Elephas maximus indicus: one gene and its partners. The main gene of each other region encodes a partner of the protein of the gene in region 3 in a complex. Links are inferred from orthologs where the notes say so. Each region holds a gene or a part of one and is shown on either strand. Other genes may lie near its edges. The genes, in order: LRWD1, ORC4, ORC2 and ORC5.

What was found.
Region 1: the proteins of ORC2 (region 3) and LRWD1 are in contact, whole or in part, in a crystal structure (PDB 8SIU), measured with the Rattus norvegicus proteins. The link is inferred for Elephas maximus indicus from reciprocal best matches to the Homo sapiens genes ORC2 and LRWD1. Residues at the interface, in NP_001012003.1 of Rattus norvegicus: Val11, Pro12, Ser13, Val14, Gln15, Phe16, Val17, Gly18, Asp19, Val22, Leu23, Ser24, His25, Ile26, Leu27, Asp28; in XP_038945348.1 of Rattus norvegicus: Pro262, Leu263, His264, Phe265, Leu266, Gln267, Cys268, Ser270, Asn273, Ser274, Pro275, Leu320, Val321, Leu322, His323, Lys324, Tyr325, Lys326, Leu367, Val369, Gly372, Phe373, Cys374, Pro596, Pro598, Val599, Ala600, Val605, Ile630.
Region 2: the proteins of ORC2 (region 3) and ORC4 are in contact, whole or in part, in a cryo-EM structure (PDB 7JPP), measured with the Homo sapiens proteins. The link is inferred for Elephas maximus indicus from reciprocal best matches to the Homo sapiens genes ORC2 and ORC4. Residues at the interface, in NP_006181.1 of Homo sapiens: Asp501, Asp504, Tyr508, Ser512, Gln518, Glu522, Val554; in NP_001177808.1 of Homo sapiens: Lys168, Asn169, Arg195, Glu200, Leu201, Lys204, Arg205.
Region 4: the proteins of ORC2 (region 3) and ORC5 are in contact, whole or in part, in a cryo-EM structure (PDB 7JPO), measured with the Homo sapiens proteins. The link is inferred for Elephas maximus indicus from reciprocal best matches to the Homo sapiens genes ORC2 and ORC5. Residues at the interface, in NP_006181.1 of Homo sapiens: Val240, Glu241, Tyr243, Phe244, Glu245, Ser248, Asp396, Gln398, Arg401, Gly402, Glu403, His426, Asn428, Ala429, Pro430, Leu431, Met432, Trp433, Asp434, His435, Gln438, Trp445; in NP_002544.1 of Homo sapiens: Asp324, Lys325, Phe328, Leu329, Leu359, Asp360, Arg361, Ala364, Tyr367, Ser368, Ala378, Asn379, Phe381, Ser382, Gln383, Thr385, Ser386, Thr389, Asp400, Gln401, Leu402, Asp403, Tyr407.

Annotation. Positions count from the first base shown.
Region 1 is NC_064830.1:93,960,106-93,967,369, forward strand, and holds the start of LRWD1 (leucine-rich repeat and WD repeat-containing protein 1), read left to right. Parts: upstream 1-4,006; 5' UTR 4,007-4,136; coding exon 4,137-4,216; intron 4,217-4,798; coding exon 4,799-5,033; intron 5,034-5,125; coding exon 5,126-5,242; intron 5,243-5,724; coding exon 5,725-5,865; intron 5,866-6,068; coding exon 6,069-6,173; intron 6,174-6,388; coding exon 6,389-6,511; intron 6,512-6,586; coding exon 6,587-6,701; intron 6,702-6,912; coding exon 6,913-7,022; intron 7,023-7,216; coding exon 7,217-7,264. Other genes in the region: ALKBH4 (alpha-ketoglutarate-dependent dioxygenase alkB homolog 4), read right to left, coding at 3,784-3,909. UniProt on the Homo sapiens protein: Required for G1/S transition. Recruits and stabilizes the origin recognition complex (ORC) onto chromatin during G1 to establish pre-replication complex (preRC) and to heterochromatic sites in post-replicated cells.
Region 2 is NC_064824.1:44,913,537-44,921,867, forward strand, and holds the start of ORC4 (origin recognition complex subunit 4), read right to left. Parts: upstream 3,321-8,331; 5' UTR 3,198-3,320; intron 1-3,197. UniProt on the Homo sapiens protein: Component of the origin recognition complex (ORC) that binds origins of replication. DNA-binding is ATP-dependent. The specific DNA sequences that define origins of replication have not been identified yet.
Region 3 is NC_064824.1:99,650,185-99,657,699, reverse strand, and holds the start of ORC2 (origin recognition complex subunit 2), read left to right. Parts: upstream 1-4,320; 5' UTR 4,321-4,607; intron 4,608-7,515. UniProt on the Homo sapiens protein: Component of the origin recognition complex (ORC) that binds origins of replication. DNA-binding is ATP-dependent. The specific DNA sequences that define origins of replication have not been identified yet.
Region 4 is NC_064826.1:45,402,060-45,409,401, reverse strand, and holds the start of ORC5 (origin recognition complex subunit 5), read right to left. Parts: upstream 3,029-7,342; 5' UTR 2,844-3,028; coding exon 2,688-2,843; intron 2,170-2,687; coding exon 2,077-2,169; intron 1-2,076. UniProt on the Homo sapiens protein: Component of the origin recognition complex (ORC) that binds origins of replication. DNA-binding is ATP-dependent. The specific DNA sequences that define origins of replication have not been identified yet.

The DNA of each region.
Region 1 (7,264 bases), on a different chromosome or scaffold from region 3:
CCCTTTTGGTCAGCAGCCTGAGCTATTAACCACTGTGCCACCAGGGCTCCGTATTGCTGATCGAAACCAAAAAAACCAAATCCACTGCCGTCGAGTCAACTCCGACTCATAGCGACCCTATTACTGCTTCTAAAATCCCTCCCTCGGCTTCTGATACACTTTCCTCTTCGACTTTCTTTCTTTCTTTTGAGGGGAAATATCAATTAGAAGTTTATTTGGTCGTAAAATTATGCACGTTTATTATCAACCTTAAATGGTATTTGCTTACCCACAAAGCTTGGAAGAAATTGGCTCATTGCAGATTTAAAAGCATTTCTTACTACTATCCCAGGGGATGAAAGTATTACAAGGGTCTCTTTAAAATTCAAAGGAGCTAAAGAACATGGTACAAACACTGTTGGTCTCTAGTACAGAAAGGAATAGCGCCTTTTTTTTTTTTTTTTTTAAGTACTCCTCCCCAGCCATTTATTTGAATGGAGGAAGAATGACTTGCCTTTAAGCAAGGAGTTGTTTAGGTTGATCTTGTCTTGAAGCATGTAACAGTGTTCACTAAGGAAAAAAAAAAAACACATTTCAGGCTTGGACAGTTGCCTGCACCTCCTTGGTGAGCCACTGGTAAACCTCTGTAGTAGTGGAAATACTTTCGGCCTGGTGTTAATATTTGGTATTTGTTAAAAATAGCCTGGCCGCATCCCTTCATTAGGAGTAAGGCAATGCTTTTAGCTCCCGGCAAAGTTTGTTTCTCGGCTGGGATGATACGAAGGCAGTGCGTGGGACAGCAAGTTCCAATCATGCAGCCTAGCAGTGCATCAGAGCAGAAAAACTTAGCTTCAGACTTATACTTGAAGATGGCGGCACGGTGTGATGGTCCTTCGGGGGCGTAAAAAGTCAAACACGGGGGCAATGAACTCTTACAGACGTGTGTTTTATTTCCTTGCAGTGACTTTGAAATCTTGCAAGAGCTATGGAAAAGGAGTGTCTTGCTGACTCCGAGTTATGTCGTTCTTGCTGGCGTTTAGGCCTCTGATCAAAACAGCTGGTCTCTGCTGTTTCTCCTTATGCACATGGGCCCACACAATACTTTCACTGTGCAGAGCAAATTGTTGGGTTGTCAGAAGTGAAGATGCAGCTTTCTTTGCCGCCCTGGAGCGAATGGATCCATTACAAGAGGAAAACTTTGTGCATTCCTTTAGACACGGGAAGGGTTTATTAAAGAATATCATGGTATGGTATATTTTTCTCACTGGCCACCCATGTTGTTACTTTGACATTCTGTTGCCTATAAAAAGCCTGTTTTTCTTCATGATAAAATTATCTGCAGCTTGACTTCTTCCATTTATGTCTAATTCTTCCCTAACCTTTATCTGCCATTGAGTCAGCTTCAACTCATTGTGACCTCATATGTATCAGAGCAAAACTGTACTCCATAGGGTCCTCGATGGCCGATTTTTTGGAAGGAGATTGCCAGGGCTTTCTTCTGAGGCACCCCGGGCAGCCCTGAACCCCCAACCCTTCAGCTGGAATTTTACATGTTATCTTTGTCTTTTCCCATATGCGACTGCTGTTTTTTTTAACTTGGCTATAAATGTACATATAATTCTATATTCTGCTTTTTATTATAGCAAATGTTGTTCTTTTTATGAAATACACTTTATAATGTCTACAATGACTTAACCAAACTTGAGGTTAAGGGCACAGTCCTCCAGACTGCCAAGTCTGCCCAAGACTTCAGACACCAGCTGCAAATTCAGGGGTCCAGAAGGCCATCCTCCCTTCTGTCCAGCCTGCTGCCAATTCGGGGGTCCCCATGGATTCTCTCAGGTTCATATAAATTGCTAAGGCGACTCACAGACCCTCGGGAAGTGCTATACTTAAAATTACAGTTTTATTATAGCCAAAGGATACAGATCAGAACCAGCCTAAGAGACACATAGAGTGGAACCTGGAACCGGGAGAGTTCCAAAGGCGAACCTTTTGTGTTCTTAGGGATGAATTACTCTCTTCCGGCGACGATATGTGCCAGTACACGCAAGGAGTACTGCCAACCCAGGAAGCTCACCTGAGCTTGGTGTCCAGAGTTTTATTGGGGGCTTTATTATGTAGGCATGATTGATTAAATCATTCTGTATGTTGTTCAACTCAATCTCCAGCCCCCTCCTCTCCCCTGGAGGCTGAGCTGACATCACATAGCTCAAAGTCCCAACCTCTGATCACATGGTTGGTCTTTTCTTGTGTGGCCAGCCCCCATCCCGAGTCATCTCCTTATCATAAACTATCTAGGGGCCCACCATAAGTTCTTCTGGCTTTCTTGACTAACGTAAGAGTTAGAACCTAACGTAGTATTTGCTGGATTATATGTACCACTCAGTTTTAATCCTCAGGACAACCCCAGGAGGTAGGGACCATAGCTGCTCCTGCATGTGAGGCTCTGGCCAGAGCTTGCCCAGCTAGGACTGCAAAGCCCATCAAAGCTCCACCCTGGCCCTCTGTGGCCTCTCTTCTCTCCCTGCTCCCATCCCCAGGGCCCTACTGCTGGTCCTCCATTCTTCTCTCACTGTTCTCGCCCCCTGAAGCTTCACCTTCAGCCTCTGACTTCAGCTTAGATGTCTCCTGAGCTTTGGGCCACCATCTCCTGTCTCCTGGACCCCTCGCACTGGACATCTTGCTCTCCTCATCCAACAACCATCCAAGCTGGGATGGTGCCACCCCACAGTGCCCCATGTCTCCAGGCTTATGGCCACCAGCCTGAACTGTTTCAGGCCCCCAGCACTTCTACTGTGAACACCGCAGAGATTTCTCCACTGGCTTCCCAGCCTCCATACCTTCATACCATGCCTCTCAGTCTACCCCAGGAGCTTTTTAAAATTCACATCTGACCGTTTAGGAGCTCCCTGTGGACTTTAGGACACATCCACCCTGCTCAGTGGACACACAGGCGTCTCCGTCGGCAGGCTCCATTGCTTTTTCCAGCCTGAGCCTCACTCCACTCTCCAAGCACATGCACTTCCCCCAGGCCTTTGTCTAAGCAGCTCCAACATGGACCGTGCTTGCAGCCAACTAAAATATTTCCAGGCCACGTGGCGCAGTGGTTAAAGTGATCACTGCTAACCAAAAGGTCCGCAATTCAAAATCATCAGAGACTCCAGGGGAGAAAGATGAGGTAGTCTGCTTCCTAAAGATTTACACCTTTGGAAACCCTAAACCCACTTTCGCTATTGGTCAGAATCAACTCCACAGCAGTGGGTTAAGTTTTTGGTTAAATAGGAATTAATATTCTCCTTGAGTGGTTAAGCGTTGGCTGCTAACCAGGTCGCCAGTTCGAATCTGGCAGCCGCTCCTTGGAAACTCTATGGGGCAGTTCTACTCTGTCCTATAGGGTCGCTATGAGTCAGAATTGACTGAACAGCAACGATTTTTTTTTTCTTTTTGGACAATTTCGGTCCAAGTTGTTTGGGGCCCCTTTGCCCTGGCTTCCCCCACCCTCACTCTTTCTGTCTTCTCCCCAGGTCCCGTGAAGCTCAGCACCAGACAGGGAGGGGCTAGGTCGAGGTTTGCTGACACACTCCCCAAGGTCCCGGAGGTGAACTGTGATTGGACGACACCCCACGTGGAGGAGCCCCTTCTCTACACCCAAGACCACTCCTCAAAGCCCTCATCCCCTCACCCTGCAACGCCCCGGGCTCCTGACAGTCTGGTCCTGGCCCGTCTCGTGACTAATCTGGGCCTCAGTTTCCCCATATGTAGAATGGAGTTTGTGGGCGCGGTCCATGTCCCAGTCCTTACCTGCGGAGGGAGCTGCCAGGACAGGTCACCACCGCGCTGCCGCTCGCAGATCAGACAGGTCCTGATGCCCTTGCAGCCACATTCCTGAAGGACCTCTGGTGCCTCTGCCACCGTCGCCGCCGCCATAGCCCCGCCCGGGCAGCCAGGACGCAGGCGCGGGGCCGCGTGGGCCGCTGGGAGTTGTAGTCCTCACCGCTGGACACGTGGTCCGAGGGCCCGCTTCCTTCCGGTCTTCACCGCTGACGGGCTCGCGAGGCGCCGCCTTCTGGGCTTGCTCACCGCCGGGCGACAGTACCGGGCTTCTCGAACGCTGGAGCTGCCGTTGGTGGCGGCACGGGCCACGCCTTCTCGCCATGGGCCCCCTCTCGACGCGGCTGCTGATGCAGCGTGGCCGGCCCAAGAGCGATCGGCTTGGGAAGATCCGCAGCCTGGAGTAAGGGCTGGGCCGGGGGCGAGGTTGTGTCCGCGGGATCAGGGCCACACAGCCCGCCACCCAGGCTGTCTGGGCTGCCCGGGCCTGGGCTGCCGGGGGTCGGGAAGAAAGCCTGGGGCCCTCCCCGACTCCATGCCCATCCCGGTTAGCGCCTCTTCGGTTCGCCATCGCCCCATCGCCAGGTGCCTTCCTCTAGTGACACGGGGCCGAACCGCCACCCTACCCGTGTGCCCCCTGGGCCCCGAGTGGCCTTACTCCGGAAAAGTGCCCTGACTGCTAGGGTGACAGACAGTGTTGATATAACTGGGGTGGGGGGGCCGTGGGGAGCACAGGGAGCCCCCAGAGGATCAGGAAAACCATCCTGGAGGGGACTATGCTCGGCTGAGCCCTGAAGTATGGCAAGATTAAAAATAAGTAAATAAAAAGTGTGAGGGGTGGGGAGGAAGGGGTTGTGCATGTTCCAGAAATGTGAGGGGAGAAGGCCATCTGAGGCCAGGGGCAGCTGGAGGTGTAGGGTGGGAGGCATGCCGGCCCCCTGCTTGCCCCCTGAGCCTTCCACGTCTGCCTCCCTCCTCACCTCAGCCTGTCAGGGCTGAAGCTACGCTCTGAGCACTTGGACCCCAGTCTCCTGGGCCGCCTAAGGCAGCTGCAAGAGCTGGACTTGTCCAACAACCAGCTGGACACACTGCCTGCCAACCTGGGCCTGTCCCACCTGCGCATCCTCCGCTGTGCCAACAACCAGCTGGGGGACGTCACTTTCTTGTGCCAGTTCCCACAGCTCGAGGAGCTCAGCCTGGAGGGCAACCCCTTCCTGACGGTGAGTGCCTCCCCCAGGCCCCAGGCCCTGGGGCCAGGACTCTTCTGGGATCAGATGGGCAGCCTCTGAGCCATGGTTCCCTTATCTCCCAGGTCAGTGACAACCTGAAAGTCTCCTTTCTCCTGCCCAAGCTCCGTAAGGTCAATGGCAAAGAGGCTTCCGCAACTTTCTCTCAGGTGGAGAACCTGAACCGGGAGCTGACCAGCAGGGTAAGGGCAGTGTCTCTGGGAAGCTGGAGGCAGCATTGAGGAGGGAGTGCAGAATGAGACATTTGGAGGACACTGAGGGCTGCTGTCCTGACACAAAGGGGCCCTTACATCCCTAAGCCTGGCCTGAGCCAGGTGCTGCCTCTCCTCTGAAGTCAGGTGCTTGGGCTGTGGTCTTTGGAAGCCCTGCCCTCCAGGTTTGCAGGCAGGGCCCAGCAGGAGAGGCTGGGTGATTTTCATTAGTATCCTACCAGGCTTGACCCTGGGGCAGTTCTTCCCATTCTGGGGCTGTTCCTGATACGCGCATATTGCTTAGGTTTGTGCAGCCTGCAGATAAGAAGGCTGTGGTTCAGACAGGCTTCCAGGTGATGAGGTCGAGATGCTTGTGGCTGTGATGACTTTGGGAGCAGTGGTGCCTCGGGGGGCCCAGGAGAGCTGGGGTGGACTGGATGGACTGGACCTGGATCTGGTCCCTCTTGTACCAGGTCACTGCTCACTGGGAGAAGTTCATGGCTGCCCTAGGCCCCAAGGAGAAGGCTGAGAAGGTCCAGGCCGACTTTGTGAGGTCTGCTGTCAGGGATGTTCGCTATGGGCCTGAGTCCCTCAGCGAGTTCACCCAGTGGCGGGTAAGTCGTTCAGGAGGTTGGTTCTCCTACTTCCTCGCTAGCTCTTGTGGCCTATAGCTGCACTGGGGGGGGTCTCTGGCCCGTGAGGGGTAAGGAGTTGTGGGGAGTAGGGGGGTTAGAGAAGGCCCTTTCCCAACTCCAGAAGGACAGGCTGGGGTCACTCAGGACTGTGCCCAGCTTCCGGATTACCTGGCCCCACCCAGGTACGGATGATCTCTGAGGAGCTGGTGGCCTCTGGTGGGACCCAGGTGCCTAAGGCAGACAACCTAGAGAGGCCTGTGGAAGCCGCAGCCACCCGTGAGTCCAGGGTGAGTACGAGTAAGGTTCCTTGTGGCTCCCCAGTGCTCTGTGTGCCCGCTACCTCCATCCTGCCTGCCTAGGGCAGCCATGGGGGAGCGAGGGTCCTAGAAATGAGCCCAGGTGACAAGGGGCTGTGGTCCAGCCTGTCACGGGGAGGAAGGAAGCCCCAGGCAGATGGGCCTATTGTCACAAAGCCCTCAGCCTATCCCTGCCCCCTCCGCAGGCCAGGCTGATGGCCTTGAAACGGCCACATGATGTCCCACTCAACCTCTTTCCCAACAAGCGGGTGTGTACCTCCCCATCAGCCCAGGTGGAGGGCGGCCCCATGGGCTCTGACGGCAGCCAGGTAAGCTGGCAAATGGCAGGGAGCAGGTGGTGGGGTGAACAGGGCCTGTGGCAGCCATGACCCCTCTGTCCCCAGGCTGGCCTGAGGCTGGAGCCCCTGCACTTCCTGCAGTGCCACAGCAAGAACAACAACCCCCAGGATCTCCAGACCCAGCTGTGGGCCTGCGCATTCGAGCCGGCCGGGGAGGAGGGTATGTCCTTGGTGGGCGGGCCACGGGAAACAAGAGCCAGCAGGCTTTCTGGATAGAGGGTGCCGGAATGCACCCTAGAGGGGCAGCCTTGGTGGACTGGGGAGTTGGGAGGGCCAGAGAGCTTAGAAAACATCAGCAGGGCCAGGAGGAGGCAGCCACAGGGAAGAACTTTAACAAAAATGTTTTCACTAGGCTGACCCCCTCCAAACAGGGCATTCGGAGGACACATCCCAGACTGTGGCCACTTGCGGCGGGGAGGCCGTCTGTGTGATCGACTGCCAGACAGGCATCGTGCTCCACAAGTACAAGGTGCCAGGCGAGGTGAGTAGCAGAGCCATGTCCCGCAGGGTGGCCCACAGAGTCCTGGGATGGGGGGTCTAGACTCAGCCGGCTCCTGACCATGTGGCCTTTTTCTTTTATGCTGGGCCTCCGTCCCCAGGCTCAATCTGTCATGCATGTTCACCCATGTAGCTTGATGCCCTCAGTGACCCCTTCCCCTACTCCACACACCCCAGGAGTTCTTCTCAGTGGCCTGGACAGCCGTGACAGTCGTCACACAAGCA
Region 2 (8,331 bases), about 55 Mb from region 3:
TGACATGTACAGTACGCCATGATTCAGTTGGTAAATTTTTTCATCAGAAATACTTGATCTATATTTCTATAAAATTTACAGTTGAGAAAGTAGATCACGTACTTAAGATGTTTCAAATATACTTAAAAGTTTTCCAATAGCTGAACTGAGTATCAGTTTTCAAATTTAATATTAAATAAGATGAAAAATTCAGCTCCTCACTCACACTAGCCTCATTTCAAGTGCTGAGTAGCCACATGCTGTTAAAGGCTGCTGTATGGGATAGCATAAGCACAGAACATGATTTCTGCAGTTAAATATTAAAACACAGACAATTTAATAGAAAAACTATGCAAAAGACTTAAAATGGCAATTTAAAAAAATCCAGTTGTCCAATAAACTTTTGAAAGTTTACTGGACAACTGGATTTGTGAACAGGGCAGTGCAAATTAAAAAACAGTAAGATAAAGCTACATTCATCAGGCTGGCAAAAATGAAAAAAGCACATACTGTTGGTGAGAATGTAGAAATTAAGGAAAATCTCAAATCCTGCTGGTGGGAGTATACATTGGTACATCTGTTTTGGAAGACGTTGGCAAAATCTACTGAAGTTGAAGATAAACATATATACCGTACAAAAACGCATGTTTATGTGTATAAAAATATATGTAAAAGAACACTGATAGCAGCATACCTATAATTGCTAAATGCTGGACATAATCCAAGTATTCATCAGCATTAAAAATAACAGAAAAACCATAAAAACCTGTTGCTGTTGAGTTAATCCTGACTGATACTGATACCACGTGTTACAGAGTAGAATGGCTGCATAGTGTTTTCTTGGGTGTAATCTTTATAGAAATGGATTGCCAGGCCTTTCTTTCTTCCACAGTGCCACTGGGTGGGTGGATTTGAACCACCAACCTTAGTTTAGTAGTTGAGGGCAAACTGCGCCAACTAGGGTCAGAATCAACTCGACAGCAACTGGTCATCAACATTAACCAAAACCAAACCCACTGCTGTGAAGTAGATTCCAACCCACAGCCACCCTGTAAGACAGAGCAGGGAACTGCCCCATAGGGGTTCCAAGGCTGTAAATCCTTATGGAGGCAGACTGCCATATCTTCCTCCTGGGGAGCAGGTGGTGGGTTTGAACCGCCCACCTTTTGGTAGGCAGCTGAGCGCTTCAACCACTGCTCTAACAAGGCTCTGGTTCATCAGCATAACCCACTCACTACTGTCGAATTGATTCCAACTCATAGCAAACCCATAGGGTTTCCAAGGTTGTAAATATCCACAGAAGCTGCCTGCCACATCTTTTTCCCACAGAGGTGCTGGTAGCTTGGAACCGCCGACCTTTCCCTTAGCAGTAGATCACAGGTTAGCAGTTGATCGCTTTAGCCACCGCTCCACCAGGGCTCCTTTCACCAGCATTAGACGAGTTAAATTAGTTGAGGCTTACTCACAAAAAGACTTACTATATTATATAATAATTACCATACTCCATAAATGCTATACTATAGTCATCACAGCAATGAAAATATATGAAGAGCAGCTAAATATAATAACAAGGTTAAGTCTTAGCGACTTCAGAGAAAAAAGACATGACATGATAATGTATAATTTCACTTACACATAGTTTAAAGACAGACAAAACTGTATTTTAGGAATACCAACATAAGTGGTTAAAAGAAATACTAGAATGAAAAGCAGTAAAAACCATAAAAATCAGAACAGTGTTAACCTCCAGAAAGGGTGAAAAGGAGGGAATGATTAGAAATGCACGAAGGGAGGAACGATTCTCAGGCACCAGCAATGTTCTAGTTCTTGACTTTGGTAGTGGTTAGAATGCTTGCTTTATATAATTGTTCATTATACTCCACTTCCATGTGCTGTGCACTCTTCTGAATATTCAGTATTTTACCACAAAAAAAAAGATATAAAGAATTGTATCTTAGGCACTTTAACTGCCCCACTATAATTATTTTCTGTTATAAGTTGGAAACTATTTGGTTCACTAGAAAAAAAAACTTAAGGCACAGGATTCTAATTTTGAGTCCATATTACATGATTACATTCAGAAAGGAATAAGTACAAGAATATGATAAATAGGACTCACTGCCAAATACACAGAAAGTCAAACTCAGAAAATAAATAACGTTAATAGCATATCCCAAAAGACCCTTTACAGAATTAAATAATATCAATGCAATAAACATGAGCAAGTTTAGATGATAATCTTTCAAAGTATCTTTACAAAAGAAGGTATTTGAAAGATGTGGAATGTTTTAAGATTGTATAAACAGAAGGTGAAAAAAGGACTGTTATTTTACAATAAAGTTTTATTAATTTAAGTGTATGAATTCTTAAATATTTTTAATTAATTCTGTGTTGATAGCAGCACTCATTATTTCCCCCCAAAATAAAAACGTAGCACTTAATTGAGGAGCAACCAAAGGCTTAAAATCCAAGGCTAGGACCCAAAGAAACTTAAGACAAAATACTCATTTTAAAAACACGGTATTTACACTACAGTAAAAGAAAACTTTATGATGTCGCTTCTCTCTTTACCAACCATAAAACTCATGACCCAGAACTAAATAACCTAATATCCCTCTCTGAGAACAGGCACAGGTTTTGTGTTGCAATAGCAACACAAGATGTGGAGGGAAATTCTTCCACTCAAGACTTCCCTGACTGTTCCTTCCCTCAAGCCGCTCCAGAATTCCAAGAAGGGTTGCGAGGTAAGGACTGAAGAGCACAACACGTAAAATACAAGCAATGCATCTGGTGCCAGAAGCTGGTCAAAATGCACACACGGGGTTTGTCTCTGTCCCTAGACAGGGCCCCTGCCCGAGCTGAGGAAGCAGTTAGCAAGTCACCTGCTGAGGCTCCACAGATCCCATTTCTTACACCCAAGCATCACGTTCCTCGTTCACCACCAAGTTGAGTCGTCATCCCGCTGTAAATCTACTCTCCTGAAGACTCCCTGCGCTCGTCAGAGATTCGGCGGCGGCCTCACCATGAGGCCATGAAACAGAACGAGCCCGCCTGGTCCTGGCCTGTCTGGCCTAGACAAGCCTGCCCCGTCCCCGCATTCCCAGTCTCTTCAGCCTCCCATCCACCCCCTTTCGCTTCGTCTTTCAACACTGGCGTCCCTGTCCCTCGTTCTGAGGCCAAGCTATCCCAATTTACCTCTCAAATAAAATCCTGCTTACCAGGGCACAGACGGAAATCCAGCGACCCCGGGAACAGCTTCTCAGGCTTGCCTCACCGCCTACTTAGCTTGGATTTCACCAGCTGGTGCCAACGGCACGCAACCACTCCCGACATGCCCCGCTCACGCACCGCCTCGCCCACCCCACCCCATTCGCGCCCAAACACGTGACCTCTTTTCGCCTCTGTCCACGCCCACTTCCGTTCCTCCACTTTCCCTTAGGAGGGAGGAGGGGGCGGGGGTAGTTAAAGAGTAACGACTTCCTCCTCTTCCCTGCCCCCGCCCCCTACCCCTGCTACAACTTCTTCCGGGTCACGAGCGCCTCTGCGCCTTCTGGGAAACCATCTCATTTCCTCCCCTCCCCCTCCTCCTGCCCTCAACCAACCAGCCTCCCGTCAGAGAGGGACATGCGCAGTGAGTGCCTCCCATCTCTTCTACCCGAGCCCCCCCTCCCCCCCAAGCAGAGAGACCCCAGCAGCAGCAGCAGCTGATGATGAAGAGAGAGGCAGTGGCAGAGGGGGGGCACCTTTTATTTCTATTTTTAAAGGGACAGGACACTAATTTTACCCCACTTCAACCTTGAATTGAGGGGGGGTGGGGGGAAGGCGGCTGAGCTCCTTCCCCCACCCTCCAGCCGGGAGCCCTGAGAGGGGGATTGAGCCTGAGAGAGAAGGAAAAGGAGTTTCTTCTTCTTCGAAACCCCCCATCCACGACTCCTACCCCCTCACCCCTCCACTCGCCTCCCTCCCGAGCCCCCTCCACCCTCCTCCTCTTTGGCCGTGAGAGGAGGAGAGAAAGAGACCAAAAGCCTCTTAGCAACACAGACCCTTCTCTGCTGCTGCTGCTGTTGCTGCTGGCTGCTGCTGTTGCTGTTGCTGCTGCTGCTGCTGCTGCTGCTGGTGCTGCTGCTGCTGCTGCTGCTTGGCCCTGGCTGGAGACATCTCACTACACCCAGGAGCAGCCACTTCCCCAGCTCTCCTCCTCCTCCTTCGCCTCCTCCTCCTCTACTCCCCCCCTTTATTACCCTTTGTGTCATCCTCCACAGCTCCAGGGAAGGGACTCAAAAGTGGGGGGCAGGAAAGGTAAGTGTGTCTGTGGGGGCTTCATTGCCTTCCTCTGGCTCTGACTTTCACTCCGGGGCAACAGTAACACCAAACCACATACGCAGTGGAGCTCGGGGGTGGTGCTGGGGGGTGAAGGAGGGGTTGGAGTGGGGAGGGGTGTGCGAGGTGGGGTGCCCATCCTGTCAGGGCAGGAAGGGCACTTTTATTTTTATTTGTTGTTGTCAAAAGTGGTTTCTCTTCTCCAGCTAACATCTGATTGTGTCTTGCTCCAATGGGGGAGAATACAAAAACAACCCCCTCCTTCCTCCAATGAGGCGCCAGGGAAAGAGACAGAAAGATGCACACTTTCTAAATGTCACTTAAAAAAATTCATTTGGAGAGCTTTTCTCCTCTTTCCTCAGAAAAAGCTCCACTGCATTTGTTTCTGAGTAGGAAAATGTCGGGGTCTGGATTGTATTGAAACTGGTTATCCATTTGTAGACCTGAGTGTTTTCCCCTATTTAGCCCTGTATGTGATTTGGATATTGACTTCAGTGTTGGAACAGACTTGATTGGTTTTTGCTTTGGGGTTTTAATTTTCCGGTTTTTCGTTTTGTCTCACTTGCATAGGAAATATTCAAAATTTTAGTTGATAGAGGCCTTTCATTAGGTTTTGACTTTTATATTGCATTTTGTGTTGTGTTTTAATTCATGTATCAGTATATAAGTTCAAACCTCAAAAATCTTAAACTTTAAATACCACTGGTATTGTTTTTTGTCAATACATGTTCCTGATAACTTGTTTTCCATAAGATGAGAATAGTAGTTATTTCATAATTGATCTGGTAATTTTTCTAATCTTTGTAACTTCTTTGAACATGTAATCGCCATTGAAAACTTTATGTTGTTCTGGCTTCATGGAAGGCCAAACCTCTCCATCAATAGTTTGCTGCATTGGTACCACTTTCAGTTTTAACTGAATTATTTATTTACTGTTGTAAATTGAGATGAGTTTTTCATCTCATGGGGTACTGAACCAAATTGCTCACTGTATGTGAAAGGAGACAGATTTCTAAAATATGTTCCTGAGTAAAAGAAATCATGAAGTTGTAGTTAGTGTATTAATTGTAGTTAGAAATGTACTAAAAGAAAAATCCAGATTTAAGTTTATAGAATAACAATCTTCATGAAAATCACTATGCTCCATTTTTACATGGTATAGTCTTAGTGAATGGCTCTCATGTTTAGTGTGACATTTTATTTCGCAAATACTAGAAAATTTGTTTCTGATGTAGGCCTTTTACTGGGGCTTATATTGGAAAGTGTCATTTTGTTTCCTATATAAATTTCTTTATCCTTTCCTTGAAGATGGATGCATACATGCATATATACCCACACACACACTCTCTCTTTCACACACTCAAACACACACATTCTCACACCCTTTTTGTAACAGCATTGGTATTTCTGATCCCATAATGGATGTCAGCAAAAAATATTTTTCTATAAAGTAGCAATTTTGTGATCAGACTGGCAATATGAAAACAGCAATTTAATCAACTAGAAATGATTGAAGAAAAATAAACCTAGGAGGACATTTGACGTAAATAATATAAAGACATGATAATAGTTATTTATTTTTTTATTTTCTTGATGAAAATCCCGAGACATAATATACTCATTCTAGTAGCAGAATAGCAGAATAGTAAAATTTTAATTACCAACTGTGTGCAATTAGATGTTTACACACAGGAAAGAAACTGTATAACAGTAAACAACATGATCTTATTTCTCTCCTTTCTGTTATAAATTCAAACAGTTCTTACCTTTCTCTGGGGTGTACTTGGTGCACTTAAGCAGAAACCTGTACCAAGTTCAAGTTTTTCCCACTACATCAATACTTCTAAGTCCACTTAGGATTTCTTGTCTTCACTTAAAACCTCAGTAACTTTAACTTAAAACACAAAACAAAAAAACTTTAACTTAGGAGATAGAAAAGTAGAACTTAGTGAAGAAATCAGTTTTAAGTAAAGCAAATTGTATAGCTAATTGGGGTGGTTTAAGATAGTTGCTCAATATGCAGCTGAGTAAAAACTTACAGTCTTGAGTATAGTACCTTTCCTTAGGTTCTGTTTTTCCTTTGAAGATATTCCTTCTCCCACTCCCACCCTCCCCCCAGGGTAACCCTTTATGGTTTGATGATTTCAGACTTTCTCTAAGTCAGATAATGATTTAAATTTTAAAAAACTCTTTAATGTGTTTTTATTATGGCTTAATTTTTAGGCATTGAGAACTATTGATATTTTAGGATTGTACTTTTTCAGCTAGGTATGATCTTGGAGGTCACTTTATCCAACTCTTCGTTTTCCATATTCTGAACTTCAGAGAGCTTAAAGGACTTGCCCAGGCTTCCATGGCCTGTAAGTAGACAGAGCAGGGACCTGAACTCGAGTCTTTTGACCATCACTCTGTTACACTACCTCATTTTCTTTTGTCCGAAATGAAACTATTACAATTAACTGTTTTATATGAAGGCATATTCTTCTGATAATAAGGCACATAGCTCTAAAACCATAACTGTGTCCATTTATAATTTAGTAATTTGTTGTTGATTTTCTTTAGGAAATACTGGTTTTACCCACTGTGGATTATTGCTATTTTGAGAATCATTTCAGCTTTTCTTAATGCTTACTTTATCGCCAGTACTTCCAATTCAACACTAAATATGCATCTTTCTCTCAAGGATCCATGTTTATAAGAAGAAGTAGAATGCCACCTGTATTACAAATGTTTACTTTTGATTCTTCATCTATGAACTACTTAAGGAAAAAATTTTATTTTTTAACGTTTATATCTGTCATTCCTAGCACAGTGCCTGGTGCATAGTAGGCCCTATTAGTTATTTGCCATAATACCTTTTAGTTTTAGAGTTAGGTGTATTTTAATTTGTTTCCTCACACATATGGGATTCTTTCTCTCCATCTCTTTCTTTTTCCTCTCCTTACTACTCCAGTGTCTTCACTACTACAATTTTTTTTTTCACTGCTGCTCTCACTTTTTCCAGTTAACAGCCAGATTAAATTCTGTCAGCAATATATTACTCATAATAAGACGTAAATGCATATATTCCCTTCTCATCCATGTACAGGATACATTTGACAAAAGTGATTTATTTTGAATAAGGGATGATCAAAAAATTTCACTTAAAAAGGTAGTAGCAAATATTCAGGATACACTTAAACTTCGTTTCTTTAGGGACTGCTGCAGTAATAGGGCATAGGCCGCTTTTACCAGCTCTATAAAGCAACTGTTACTTAGGTGACGTGTTTCCCTGACTTTGTTTTTTTGGTCCTTACCCAGACAATTATCAGCTTTCCAGTTTTCTATGGATATGAAGAATTACTCCTAGTCATCAGTGGGACCCAATGAAGTCAGCCAGAAAGCCTATGTCCAACTAATGTACTTTTGCAAACTTGTCTGGATTTTGAATGTATGTGCGAAAACAAATTGTATTTAGCTATTTATTAAACATCTGTTGACACCTACTGTCTGCCAGATACTGTGCTTAGGCATTTGAGAAGCAAAAGATGGTCCCTGAAGTTTAACGAGGAGCCCTGGTGGTGCAGTGGTTAAGCACTCAGGTGCTAACCGAAAGGTTGGCCGTTTGAACCCACCAGCTGCTCCATAGGAGAAGGATGTGGCGGTCTGCTTCTGTAAAGATTACAACCTTGGAAACTCTATGGGGCAGTTCTGCTCTGTCCTGTAGGGTCGCTATGAGCTGGAATTTACTCGATAGCAGTGGATTTGGTTTTGGGTTTGGCAGTTTAATGTAAACAGATATCTTGTGTTTCAAATTGTATTATATCATTATGTTGATGTTTCTACATAAATTTTATTAGTTAAATGGATACTGTTAGGTGGAAAAATGCATGTTAAGAAGGTTATTGCTGTATTTTATTAAAATACAAACATAAAGAAAAATTTTCCACTTGATAATGTATTCTGGAGATTTTTACTATATATATACTTCACTCACTTTAGGCCATAAAAACAGCATGTGGCTACCATGGCTGGGTTTTAGAGCTGATCATA
Region 3 (7,515 bases):
GTAAAATATGGCTTGGATTAAAAAAAACCTTTTGAATACAAAAATAATTAAACTTGAAAAATGATTTTACTTTTTTAAGTCAGTCAACTCCCTGAGGAAAAATATGTAGAGACATAACTGATTTTCCTCTTTGTGTTGACAGAGGAGTCATTGGTGAAAAAAAATCTGCAGCTGATATACTGATGTTACAGTCTGCTGTTTCAAAATTAAATAAAACTTTAAGAATTACTTTTAAAAATCTAAATTTGATAACTCATTCTTTTTTTTAATATTTTATTTTGTTTTTTGATGAAAGTTTACACAGCAAATTAGGTTCCCATTTAACAATTTCTATACATATTGTTTTTCTCATTATCTTCTCCTAAGGGGACTTTTGGAGCCCTGGTAGCACAGTGTTAAGAGCTTGGCTGCTAACCAAAAGGTTGGCAGTTTGAATCCACCAGCTGCTTCTTGGAAATCCTGCTTTACCCTGTCCTGTAGGATCGCTATGAGTCAGAATCGACTTGACGGCAGTGGGTTTGGTTTTGGGTTTTTTTTCAATACATATTTTTCAGTGACATTGGTTACGCTTTTCACAATGTGTCAGCATTCTCATTATTCCCATTCTGGTTGTTCCATTTGCATTAATCTAGTTTCCTTACCTCCCCTTACCTTCTCCTCTGTGCTTCAGGATAACTGTTGACCATTTGATCTCATACAGATAATTTTTTTAAAGGAACATAGTGTTGTTGTCAGGTGCTGTCGAGTCAGTTCTGACTCATAGCAACCCTACGTACAATAGAATGAAACACTGCCCAGTCCTCCACCATCCTTAAAATCATTGTTACGCTTGAGCCCATTGTTGCAGCCACTGTGTCACTCCATCTTGTTGAGTGTCTTCCACTTTTTCGCTGACCCTCTACTTTACCAAGCATGATGTTCTTCTCCAGGAACAGATCCCTCCTGATAACATTTCCAAAGCAAGTGAGATAGTCTCGCTATCCTTGCTTCTAAGGAGCATTCTGGTTGTACTTCTTCCGAGACAAATTTGTACATTCTTTTGGCAGTCCATGGTATATTCACCAGGCTTCACCAACACCACAATTCAAAGGTGTCAATTCTTCTTCCATCCTCCTTATTCATCACCCAGCTTTCGCATGCATGTGAGGCAACTGAAAACACCATGGCATGGGTCAGGTGCACCTTAGTCTTCAAGTTGACATCTTTACCTTTTAACACTTTAAAGAGGTCTTTTGCTGCAGATTTACCCAATGCAATGCATCTTTAGATTTCTTGACGGCTGCTTCCATGGGCATTGATTGTAGATCCTAGTAAAATGAAATCCTTGACAACTTCGATCTTTTCTCCATTTATCGTCATGTTGCTTATTGGTCCCTTGTGAGGATTTTTGGTTTCTTTATATTGAGGTGTGATCCATACTGAAGGCTGCAGTCTTTGACCTTCATCAGTAAGTGCTTGAAGTCCTCTTCACTTTCAGCACGCAAGGTTGTATCATCTGCAAAGTGTAGGTTGTTAATGAGTCTTCCTCCAATTCTGATGCCCAGTTCTTCATACAGTCCAGGTTCCCGGATTATTTGCTCTGCATACAGATTGAATAGGTATGGTGAAAGGATACAACCTGACATACACCTTTCCTGATTTTAAACTACACAGTATCCCCTTGTTCTTTTTGAACTACTGCCTCTTGAACTATGTAGAGGTTCCTCATGAGCACAATTAAGTGTTCTGGAAATCCCATTCTCTGCAGTATTATCCATAATTTATAATGATCCACACAGTCCAATGCCTTTGCATAGTCAATAAAACACAGGTAAACATCTTTCTGGTATTCTCTGCTTTCAGCCAGGATCCATCTGACATCAGCAATGATACCCCTTGTTCTATGTCCTCTTGTGAATCTGGCTTGAATTTCTGGTGGTTCCCTATTGATATACTGCTGCAGCTGCTTTTGAATGATCTTCAGCAAAATTTTACTTGTGTGTCAAATTAGTGATATTGATAATTTCCGTATTCAGTTAAATCACCTTTCTTGGGAATAGGCATTAATATGGATCTCTTCCAGTCAACTGGCCAGGTAGCTGTCTTTTAAATTTCTTAGTATAGACAAGTGAGCACTTCCAGTGTTGCATCTGTTTATTGAAACATTTCAATTGGTATTCCACCAATTCTTGGAGCCCTGTTTTTTGCCAGTCCCTTCTTGGACTTCTTCCTTCTGTACCGTCGGTTCCTGATCATATGCTACCTCCTGACATGGTTGAACGTCGACCAATTCTTTTTGGTACAGTGACTCTGTATATTCCTTCATCTTCTTTTGATGCTTCCTGAATCGTTTAATATTTTCCCTATAGAATCCTTCAGTACTGCAACTCAAGGCTTGAATTTTTTTCTTTAGCTCTTTCAGCTTGAGAAACACCGAGCGTGTTCTTCCCTTTTTGTTTTCTACCTCCAGGTCTTTGCACATGTCATTATAGTACTTTACTTTGCCTTCTCGAGCTGCCCTTTGAGACCTTCTGTTCAACTCTTTTACTTCCTCATTTCTTCCTTTTGCTTTAACTATTCGATGTTCAAGAGCAAGTTTCAGAGTCTCTTCTGACATCCATAGTACACACAGGTAATATTGTTTATGAGCCCATCTGTTACTTAGCTGAAAGGTGACCTCCAGAGCAGTCTCAGTTCAAAGGTTAAAGGGTATCTCAGGGTGATAGTTTTGAAGGGTTCCTCTAGTCTCAACTTCTCCAGTAAGTCTGGCCTTTTTTTAAGAATTTGAATTTTGTTCAACATTTTTTTCCCATTCTATCTGGGACCATCTATTGTGTCCCTGGTCAGGTTGGTATTGGTAGCAGGGCACCATCTAGTTCTTCTGGTCTCAGGGTAGATGAGGCCATGGTTTGTGTAGACTATTAGTTCTGTAGTTTCTTCTTCAAGTCTTTGGTATCCTTCTTTCTCTTTTGTACTGGACAAGTAGAGACCAACAGTTGTATCTTAGATAGCCACTCACAGCTTTTCAGACCCCAGATGCTACTCACCAAACTAGGGTGTAGAACAAAAACTTTATGAACCATGTTATGCTATGTTATGAACTATGTTGATGGAATTGTCCCACTATTGTGGTCCTAAGCCTTCAAACCAATCTCACAAGGTGTTTATCACATTCTTCTTTATATTCCTTGTTTTGTTGATATAAAATCTTTTATCTTTGAGATTTTGCTAGTTTGGAATAAATTTTCTTCTGGGTTCTGTACAGCCTATTTCTTCTTGGTCTTTTTGCCTCTTTGCAAGGTGAAGCTTTATTCAAAAGTTTGGTGATACTAAAACTGACTTAAAGCTCAGCCTGCAAGGGTATGGCTTATTAGCTAGTAGATTTCATGCTGCTCATCTGACTTCAGAGGTTCCTGTAAACTTAATTCCTGGGACTAGCTGGAGTTCTGTGACAAGAACAGGCTTGATTCTTATTGGCTGTCCTCTCTGCAGGCCTGTGTTTGTTTTAACTTAGCTCCTGTCTTGTTCTTTTAATTGCTTGTATGTTCACACTTTTAAAAAATAGTATTATTGGTGAGTAGTACTGTATCCCAGCCAGGTTCTTTTCCTTTTCTTCCTCATTATCTTTTTCTGCCTCTATTCCTTCTATTTAAGGAGCCCTGGTGGCACCCTGATGGCCGCAGTAGTTGAAATGGCTGCTAACGGAAAGGTTGAAAGTTCTGAAACCACCAGCTGCTCCATAGGAGAGAGCTGTGACAATCTGCTTCCATAATGATTTACAGCCTTGGAAACCCAGTGGGGTGGTTCTACTGTCATATAGAGTTTCTGTAAGTCTGAATTGAGTCCACTGGCGATGGGTTTGTAATCCTTCTATTTATCTTGCCTTTTTATCCTATTAGCAGTATGATCCCATCTCCATCTTCAGTGCTCTGGCCCTAATTCTCTTCTTTATAGAGGGCTGTTTCCCCTCCTCCAAATCCTAGAGATGCACAAGATCCTACCTTTTACAACAGGAGAGAAAAATAAATAAATAAACGCAAGTAGTCCCCGTATTTTTTCTCAAAAAAAAAAAAAAATTTTTAAAATCAATAATCACTTCTAAGATTGCCCCAAAATAGAGTAACGCTCAGCCGCAGTTTTTCCAAACAACATCTCAGATTTCCTCAGATACAACCAACACTTCCTTCTCCCTTCCCCGGAAACGGAAAGAGGAAAGGAAAAGCCCACAACTCCAACGCTCGAGGATTCGTTTTCCCTCAGATTTCCTGGTGTAGGGGGGCCGGCTGGCCGGCGCCGACTGGCCCGCAGAACCGTCGTTCTCAGCCGGCTCCGTTTCTTATTGGCTGTCCCGGGCACCGCCCCTGAGCAGGGCGGGAGATTTGGTGTGCGGCTGGCAGGCCTCCCATCCCCCAGCCGGCCTCCTCTCCCACCTCGGCCCTCCTGTGGCGTTCCTTTTGAGTACTTGTCCCTCTGGCTGGGGCCAAAGCAGCTTTCCCTGCTGCAACGGCTCAGCCTGGAGGCGTCCGGCTGGTGCTAGGGGGCCAGGGCCACGCCCCGCGGGAACCTAGCGGTACGTTGAGGGGCGACGGGGCAGCCTGCCTCCTTCTGCTTGGCTGTGGGCTTCTGAGGTGAGTTGCGATGAGCACAGCCTTGGCATCCGAGCTGGGGCGTCCGCATTTCGGGTTTTGTGTCTCAGGGCTTCCTCTCAGCACCTGGGGCAGGGTCGCTGCGCCTCCCGCTTCGCCTTCCCCAAGCTAGCCCCCTGTCGTAGCGGCACGGGGACCCCCGGCCGGCGGAGAGCAGCCCGGTGGTCAGCAACTGAGGCCCAGGGCGAAGTCCGTAGTATTTGTTGCGGTAAGAGGCGCCCTCTGGGAAGACTGTTCGTCTGTCTGTCCGGCAGTGATAGCCTTTCCATGCTAGGGACGCCCGAAACCAACATGCCTGTTCCCTCGCCTAAGGAGCCCTCTGCTTGTAAAAGGAGAACACATGAAAATGTACAACGAAAGTAGGAGAGTGCCCTGTGAGAAGAACAGGTACAGTGAGAGATGTGGGGTTCAGAGATCACATCCCAGAACTACACTGTAGGGACAACCTTTGATTTCATCCCAGACTGGAAGCACCAAATGAGTCCCGCTAACTGAACGGTCACCCTGGGTCAGTGCTTGGTTGTAAAGTTGATAAACCAGGATCCTTTGATAGAGCTTTTAAAATGAAAAGGATGCTTATGTATTACTTTTCATTTTACAGTTGAAATCAAATTAGACCAAAATTTCCTAATGGAACCATGACACAGTCCCTTAGTTAAATAGCAGTTGGAAGAATAGCATGGTCCTGCATCTTTGTGTAAGGACACACTGCATATTAAATGAACATAATCCAATCATCATTTATTGAGCACACTTTCTGTTGTTAGATGTTGAATGAAATGTAGAGATGTACAGGAGATTTGCATGGTAAAATTGTAGTTTAAAGTAACGATACCAATACTACTGAATGTTTAGTGAGTACTTTCATATGCCAGGCACATGATCCCATTTAAGAGATCCAAGATCACACAACTGTAAGGTGTGATGTTAAAATTGGTGCTTAACTATTAACCTACGTCACTTTCTTTCTAAAGGATTATGTTAAAATTGCAACGATTTTTATTGTTCTCAAAGGAGAGTGTGTTGCTTTTAACACTTGGTGCTGCTATATTGCCTTGCAGTTAACTTTGAGTGTGAGTTTTCTATCCCCTGACTCCTTGAGAGGAACTGATTTACACAGCAAGCACCCAGGACAGTGCCTTGAAGGGTCATGTTGTTGTTGTTATGTGCCCTCTGGTTGATGGGGACTCCTAGCGACCCATAAGACAGAGTAGAACTGCCCCGTAGGGTTTCCCAGGCTGTAATCTTTACGGAAGCAGATCCAGATCTTTCTCCCACGGAGCACTGAGTGGACTCAAACCACCAGCCATTCAGTTAGCAGCCAAACGTTTAGCCATTATGCCAGCAGGGGCGTCCTTGAAGGGTTATAAATGGTCACTAAATATGACACGTTAATTTATTGTGTGATTGTTGAGTAGTTCCCCACCCCCCGCCCCCCGACTGTTGGAGAAGGAAGGTCTTTGTAGACATTTCTTCAATTTGGTGATTCTGTACTAAATAATGAGAAGCCTTAAAATTTAGTTAAGGAAATTCATGTATAAATGAATTTGACTATAAACAAGAGTTAGGCTGCCTCTATCCTGGCAATTCTTATGTAAAATGCCATAAGGAAATTACCTAGGACAATATTCAGTTACCTAGAATATTTGATTTTAAATTATCTTTGAAAATCTTTTTTATTTTCCTGAAGGAACTACTAAACTTTTGCTGATGAGAATTATATGACTGACCTTTATTCCTTTTGACTTTGATTTCCAGGAAGCTCAGAGCCAAAAAATTCTTTGTATTTTTATTTTCTGCTATTCTTTGTGTTTTCCCTGGTCCACACTCCCTATTAGTATTTATAGTTTATCATTTGTTTTCTTGCATTTGTTCATTACCACTGCTTCAAGTCCTTTGTGGAACACAACAGTATATAATTAAGTAAAAATAACATAATTATACTGAACCTGGCATGCTGTTTGAAGTACGCTTTGTAGAACTGGTGATGTTTAACCTAATGAACCAGAAAATTACTGCTACCTATATAAATCTCTGGGTATTTGAAGTACCATGTGGGAAAATGATTAGACTTATTATGAATAGTTTCTAGAGATCAAAGGAAGAGTTTAGGTTAACAGATTTTTTATTTAATGATGGGAGAGGTGTGTGGTATAATAGAATGATCAGGAACTTTGGATTCAATCAGCCTTGGGTATCAGCCTTAATACACTTTCTAATAATGTCAGTTTGGGCGAGTAATTTAATACCTAACCTCAGCTTTACTCATCTGTAAATTGGGAAAATTATAGCAGTATATGTAATACCTACCTCAAGTAGTCTGAGGATTTAGTGAGCTGGTGTGCGTAAAAGGGCCTAATACAGTACCTGACAAAGAGCCCCCCTCAAACTGTTAGTTTCTTTATACAAATGTCATATAGATGCATTAAACTTTTTCTCTAATACAACAGGATGCCCTAGAATAGGAAAAATATCATAACTAGAAAAACGATCTAGAAGCATATTTTACTGGTAGTGGCCGTATAGATTTTAGATAGTGTTATGTTTATATGGAAAGTATAAACCTCATAGAGTTGTTGTGAGAGTTAAATGAGAATACGTATAAAGTAGCCCAAACTGTGCATGGCACATAAAAACCAGTTGCCGTTGAGTCGCCTGCAACTCATAGTGAGCCCATACGTGTCAGAGTAGAACTGTGCTTCATAGAGTTTCCAGTGGCTGATTTTTGAGAAGTAGTAGATTACCCGGCCTATCTTCCAGGACATCTCTGGGTAGACTCAAACCTCCAACCTTTCGGTTAGCACCCTGGTGTGTTAATTGTTTGCACCACCCAGGGACTCCGTCTAATACATACCAAAAACCAAACCAAACCCAGTGCTGTCAAGTGGAT
Region 4 (7,342 bases), on a different chromosome or scaffold from region 3:
AGTTGGATATTTATTCTCTGGACTCCCCACCTGGTGTTCCACAGTTTAACAGTGGCAATATTCTTCCACCAGAGATCACAGCTCTTAGGCAGCAGCTCTTCTAAGACTAGAACTCTTGATAGGTCCTAGTAACAACTCCTCCTCATGGCTCTTTCAGGTCTAGAAATGGTAAAGTCTTCCCACTGTTACCAGTCCCTCGATGCCTCACCATTTTTACTGGTTCCCTTAATGCATCCTCAACCTTTGTAAAATAGCTCCTTCACTAAACTTACATCAATTATTCTTTTGAGTTTGCCATTTGTTTCCTGCAGGGACTCAAAGTCAAACTTGTGTTTTCCTCTAACTGAACTGCACACGTGAAAAATGTTCAAATGGCAAAGGCTGTTACTTACATTTTTACAAAACAAGAAAAAAAAAATCCAAGTACATTTGAATGTTAAAATTCTTAGTGAGAATTTCATGTTTATAATTTTAAGATGATATCCTTAATAGATGAATAAACCTAGATCAAGAAAGGAATTGTAAGAACCAGAAACTATAGTAACCCTTCTATCATAGGAACTAGTTCTTCACTTAGAGAACTATCAAAACGGAGAAAATCCAAAAAGTAATAAGGAATTAAAGATTTACTCAAGAACAAAGTCTATTTTCCTCAAAATGAGATTACAAAAGCAGTAATAATCTTTCAGAGAAAGAAAACTTGTGGCATTTGACACAATTAATAGCATCTATAGATATGTCTCTTTTCTGGAAACCATGGTGCTGTAGTGGTTAACAGCTATGGCTGCTAACCAAAAGGTGGGTAGTTTGAATTCACCAGGCGCTCCTTGAAAACTCTGTGGGGCAGTTCTACTCTGTCCTTTAGGGTTGCTATGAGTTGGAATCAACTCAATGGCAATGGGTTTTTTTTTTTTTAATAGCTATTTTTAGTGATATTCTATAAATCTTGCCCAATAGGAGACATTTTTCTCTTGCAGAGTTACAGTGTAATAAGACTACATTACACTTACCTAGGCAGTTTCACCAGCATTTACTGACTACCCCTGCCCTCCCCATCCCATTCCTTTACGAACGAAAGGTTACAGCATCTCAGTCGTGAATAAGTGCCTTGCTTACTGTATTCATGCTATCTATGACCTTTAATGCAAGCATATTCTAAGTGTCAGGGGCATAATTTTTGTGTACCTGTACAAGTAGTGATAATTATCACTTATTACACTGATTAAGCAGAAGCAAAAATTGTAAGGTGTTCAAAAACGGAATACAGGCACTAAATATAGAACTTCCTTACTGGGTTTGCATTCTTTATTCAACATATATTTTTGGAAACTTCATATAGGGAGGTCCTCCAGTGCAAATGCCTGGGCCAGACTCTTGGACACTATGATCCTGAAGTCTAGGCATCTGTGTTTTTTTAAAATGCATAGCTGATCTTGAGGATCAAAGGCTGAAATCCACAAGCACTGTGCTTGGTACTGGGGATACTCTCAAAAAACTTGACAATCCAGAGCCAGGAAAAGACAAACACAAAATCAGAGCTCACAGAATTAAGCACAGGGTACTGAGGCTGTAGAGCAGAAGAGCAACTAACACAACATTGTGGACTCAGGAAAAGCTTCCCAGAGTGTAGGTAAAAGAAAATCTGGTAACATTAATGGGCATTTGCCAAGAAATGGGGTAGTAGAGGAGAAACAAGTAAAGAAAAGCCATTCCAAGCAGAAGGGGCAGTATGTGCCAAGGCTAGGATATAGCAGTAGGAACTGTAAATAGTTCAGTATGCCATACTAAACATGCACATTCAGGGTTTAGGATTATTACTAGGCAGTGAAAATTAGAAAGAAATTTGGCTCAACTTAAACCAATGACTTTCTAACATTTAGGCTCAAGTTATCTAATAATGCCCTTTGAGGGTTACAGTCTCTGGAGTTATTCAAATAAAAGTTGACCAGGCATGTTCTATGTAGAAGATACTCCTTTAGAAGAAAGTAAACTAGACTAGATAATCTCCCAGGTCCCTTCGACTTCTAGGAATCTATGAGTAAAAATCACCTAACATCGTTTGGGGGTTATTCTTACCTCTAAGGTTTTCAACAAAGTTTGTGTGACATAGGTCTTTCCACTGGCTGTATGTCCATAAATAAAAATGGATGGAAAGCTGAAATGGTGTCTCTAGGGTAGAAAAGCCAAGCATCAGTCGGCACGTATAAAACAGAAAAGAAACTTACCAATTCACATCAGAAAGCTTTATGTACTTAAACAAAATACTCAATCAAATTTATTTCAACAGTGAGCATACAGTGGATTCATCATTGTACTCTGAACTTAACTGAATTAAACTCTAAGTGATTTCTCTGTTACGTACTTAAAATTTCTGTAAAGTTTTAGTTTACATATTACATACTACATACATGATTAAAAGGAGCCCTGGTGGTGTAGTAGTTAAGTGCTCAGCTGCTAACTGAAAGGTCAGTGGTTCAAACCCAGCAGCCACTCCACGGGAGAAAGATGTGGCCGTCTGCTTCCGTAAAGATTACGGCTTTGACATTTGACAAAGCCCAACACCCATTCATGATAAAAACTCTCAGCAAAATAGGAACAGAAGGAAAATTCCTCAACATAATAAAGGGCATTTATACAAAGCCAACAGCCAACATCATCCTAAATGGGGAGAGTCTGAAAGCATTTACCTTGAGAACGGGAACCAGACAAGGATGCCCTTTATCACCACTCTTATTCGACATTGTGCTGGAGGTCCTAGCGAGAGCAATTAGGCTAGACAAAGAAATAAAGGGCATCTGGATTGGCAAGGAAGAAGTAAAATTATCGCTATTTGCAGATGACATGATCTTATACACAGAAAACCCTAAGGAATCCTCCAGAAAACTACTCAAACTAATAGAAGAGTTCGGCAGAGTTTCAGGTTACAAGATAAACACACAAAAATCACTTGGATTCCTCTACGTCAACAAAAAGAACATCGAAGAGGAAATCACCAAATCAATACCATTCACAGTAGCCCCCAAGAAGATAAAATACTTAGGAATAAATCTTACCAAGGATGTAAAAGACCTATACAAAGAAAACTACAAAGTACTAGTGCAAGAAACTAAAAGGGACCTACATAAACGGAAAAACATACCTTGCTCATGGCTAGGAAGATTTAACATAGTAAAAATATCTATTCCACCAAAAGCCATCTATATATACAATGCACTTCCAATCCAAATTCCAATGACATTTTTTAACGTGATGGAGAAACAAATCACCAACTTCATATGGAAGGGAAAGAAGCCCCGGATAAGTAAAGCATTACTGAAAAAGAAGAACAAAGTGGGAGGCCTCACTCTACCTGATTTTACAACATATTATACAGCCACAGTAGTCAAAACAGCCTGGTACTGGTACGACAACAGGCACATAGACCAATGGAACAGAATTGAGAACCCAGATATAAATCCATCCACATATGAGCAGCTGATATTTGACAAAGGCCCAGTGTCAGTTAATTGGAGAAAAGGTAGTCTTTTTAACAAATGGTGCTGGCATAACCGGATATCCATCTGCAAAAAAATTAAACAGGACCCATACCTCACACCATGCACAAAAACTAACTCCAAATGGATCAAAGACCTAAACATAAAGACTAAAACGATAAAGAGCATGGAAAAAAAAAATAGGGACAACGTTAGGAGCCCTAATACAAGGCATAAACAGAATACAAAACATTACTAAAAATGACGAAGAGAAACCAGATAACTGGGAGCTCCTAAAAATCAACCACCTATGCTCATCTAAAGACTTCACCAAAAGAGTAAAAACACCACCTACAGACTGGGAAAAAATTTTCAGCTATGACATCTCCAAAAAGCGCCTGATCTCTAAAATCCATATGATTCTGTTAAAACTCAACCACAAAAAGACAAACAACCCAATTAAAAATTGGGCAAAGGATATGAACATACACTTTACTAAAGAAGATATTCAGGTGGCTAACAGATACATAAGAAAATGCTCTCGATCATTAGCCATTAGAGAAATGCAAATTAAAACTACGATGAGATTCCATCTCACTCCAACAAGGCTGGCATTAATCCAAAAAACACTAACTAATAAATGTTGGAGAGGCTGTGGAAAGATTGGAACACTTATACACTGCTGGTGGGAATGTCAAATGGTACAACCACTTTGGAAATCCATCTGGCGTTTCCTTAAAAAGCTAGAAATAGAACTACCATATAACCCAGAAATCCCACTCCTCGGAATATATCCTAGAGAAACAAGAGCCTTTACATGAACAGATATATGCACACCCATGTTTACTGCAGCACTGTTTACAACAGCAAAAAGCAAGAAGCAACCAAGGTGCCCATCCATGGACGAATGGATAAATTATGGTACATTCACACAATGGAATACTACACATCGATAAAGAACAACGATGACTCTGTGAAACATTTCATAACATGGAGGAACCTGGAAGCCATTATGCTGAGTGAAATTAGTCACAGGCAAAAGGACAAATATTGTATAAGACCACTATTATAAGATCTTGAGAAATAGTATAAACTGAGAACACATTCTTTTGTGGTTACGAGAGAAGGGAGGGAGGGAGGGAGGGAGGGAGACGGTTATTTACTGATTAGATAGCAGATAAGAACTACTTTAGGTGAAGGCAAGGACAACACTCAATACAGGGGAGGTCAGCTCAACTGGACTGGACCAAAAGCAAAGAACTTTCCTGAATAAACCAAATGCTTAGAAGGTCAGCGAAGCAAGGGCGGGGGTTTGGGGACTATGGCTTCAGGGGACATTTAAGTCAATTGGCAAAATAAATTCTATTAAGATAACATTCTGCATCCCACTTTGAAGTGTGGTGTCTCAAGTCTTAAACATGAACAAGCGGCCATCTAAGATGCATCAATTAGTGTCAACCAACCTGGACCAAAGGTAAATGAAGGACACCAAGGTCACAAGGTAATCATGAGCCCAAGAGACAGAAAGGGCCACATGAACTAGAAACTACATCATCCTGAGACCAGAAGAACTAGATGGTGCCCAGCCACAACCGATGACTGCCCTGAGCACAACAGAGAACCTCTGAGGGAGCAGGAGAACAGTGGGATGCAGACCCCAAATTCTCATAAAAAGACCAGACTGAGACTAGAAGAATCCCAGCGGTCATGGTCCCCAAAACTCCTGTTAGCCGAGGACAGGAACCATTCCCAAAGCCAACCCATCAGACATGGACTGGACTGGACAATGAGTTGGAGAGAGATGCTGATAAAGAGTGAGCTACTTGCATCAGGTGGACACTTGAGACTATGTTGGCAACTCCTGTCTGGAGGGGAGATGGGAGGGTAAAGGGGGTTAGAAACTGGCAAACAGTCACGAAAGGAGAGACTGGAAGGAGGGAGCGGGCTGACTCATTAGGGGAGAGTAAGTAGGGAGTATGTAGTAAGCTGTATATAAGTTTATATGTGAGAGACTGACTTGTAAACTTTCACTTAAAGCACAATAAAAATTATTTAAAAAAAAAAAAATCCACTCGTCCCAAATTCAAGTTTGTACACATTCTGTTATTTTAAAAACAGCCCGACAGCTAACAGATACATGAGAAAATGCTCTTGATCATTAGCCTTTAGAAAAATGCAAATTAAAACTACGATGAGATTCCATCTCACTCCAACAAGGCTGGCATTAATCCAAAAAACACAAAATAATAAATGTTGGAGAGGCTGCAGAGAGATTGGAACACTTATCCACTGCTGGTGGGAATGTCAAATGATACAACCACTTTGGAAATCAATCTGGCGTTTTCTTAAAACGTTAGAAATAGAACTACCATACCATCCAGAAATCCCACTCCTCAGAATATACCCTAGAGAAATAAGAACCTTTACATGAACGGATATATGCACACCCATGTTTACTGCAGCTCTGTTTACGACAGCAAAAAACTGGAAGCAACCAAGGTGTCCATCAATAGATGAATGGTTAAATAAATTATGGTATATTCACACAATGGAATACTACGCGTTGATAAAGAACGGTGACGAATCTGTGAAACATTTCATAACATGGAGGAACCTGGAAGCCATTATGCTGAGCGAAATTAGTCAGATGCAAAAGGACAAATATTGTATAAGAGCACTATTATAAGATCTTCAGAAACAGTATAAACTGAGAAGAACACATACTTTTGTGGTTACAAGAGGGGGGAGGGAGGGAGGGTGGGTGGGAGAGGATTATTTACTGATTAGTTAGTAGATAAGAACTACTTTAGGTGAAGGAAGAACAATACTCAATACACAGAAGGTCAGCTCAACTGGACTGGACAAAAAGCAAAGAAGTTCCCTGAATAAACTGAACGCTTCGAAGGTCAGCGGAGCAAGGGCGGGGGTTTGGGGACTATGGCTTAAGGGGACTTCTAAGTCAATTGGCATAATAAACTCTATTATAAAAACGTTCTGCATCCCACTTTGAAGTGTGGCGTCTGGGGTCTTAAATGCTAACAAGCGGCCATCTAAGATGCATCAATTGGTCTCAACCCACCTGGATCAAAGGAGAATGAAGAACACCAAGGCCACACAATAACTATGAGCCCAAGAGACAGAAAGGGCCACATGAACCAGAGACTTACATCATCCTGAGACCAGAAGAACTAGATGGTGCCTGGCCACAACCAATGACTGCCCTGACAGGGAGCACAACAGAGAACTCCTGAGGGAGCAGGAGAACAGTGGGATGCAGACACCAAATTCTCATAAAAAGACCAGACTTAATGGTTTGACTGAGACTAGAAGAATCCCGGCGGTCACGGTCCCCAAACCTTGTGTTGGCCCAGGACAGGAACCATTCCCGAAGACAACTCATCAGACATGGAAGGGACTTGACAATGGGTGGGAGAGAGACGCTGATGAAGAGTGAACTACTTTTATCAGGTGGACACTTGAGACTGCGATGGCATCTCCTGTCTGGAGGGGAGATGGGAGAGTAGAGAGGGTTAGGAACTGGCAAAACGGTAACAAAAGGAGAGACTGGAAGGAGGGAGCGGGCTGACTCAGGGGGAGAGTAAGTGGGAGTATGGAGTAAGCTGTATATAAGCTTATATGTGACAGACTGACTTGATTTGTAAACTTTCACTTAAAGCACAATAAAAATTATTTTAAAAAACAGCCCGAATAAATAGATTTTTAAGCCAAAAAAAAAAAAGATTACAGCCTTCGAAACCCTATGGCACAGTTTTACCCTCTCCTGTAAGGTTGCTGGAAACCCTGGTGGCATAGAGGTTAAGTGCTATGGCTGCTAACCAAAAGGTCGGCAGTGTGAATCCGCCAGGCGC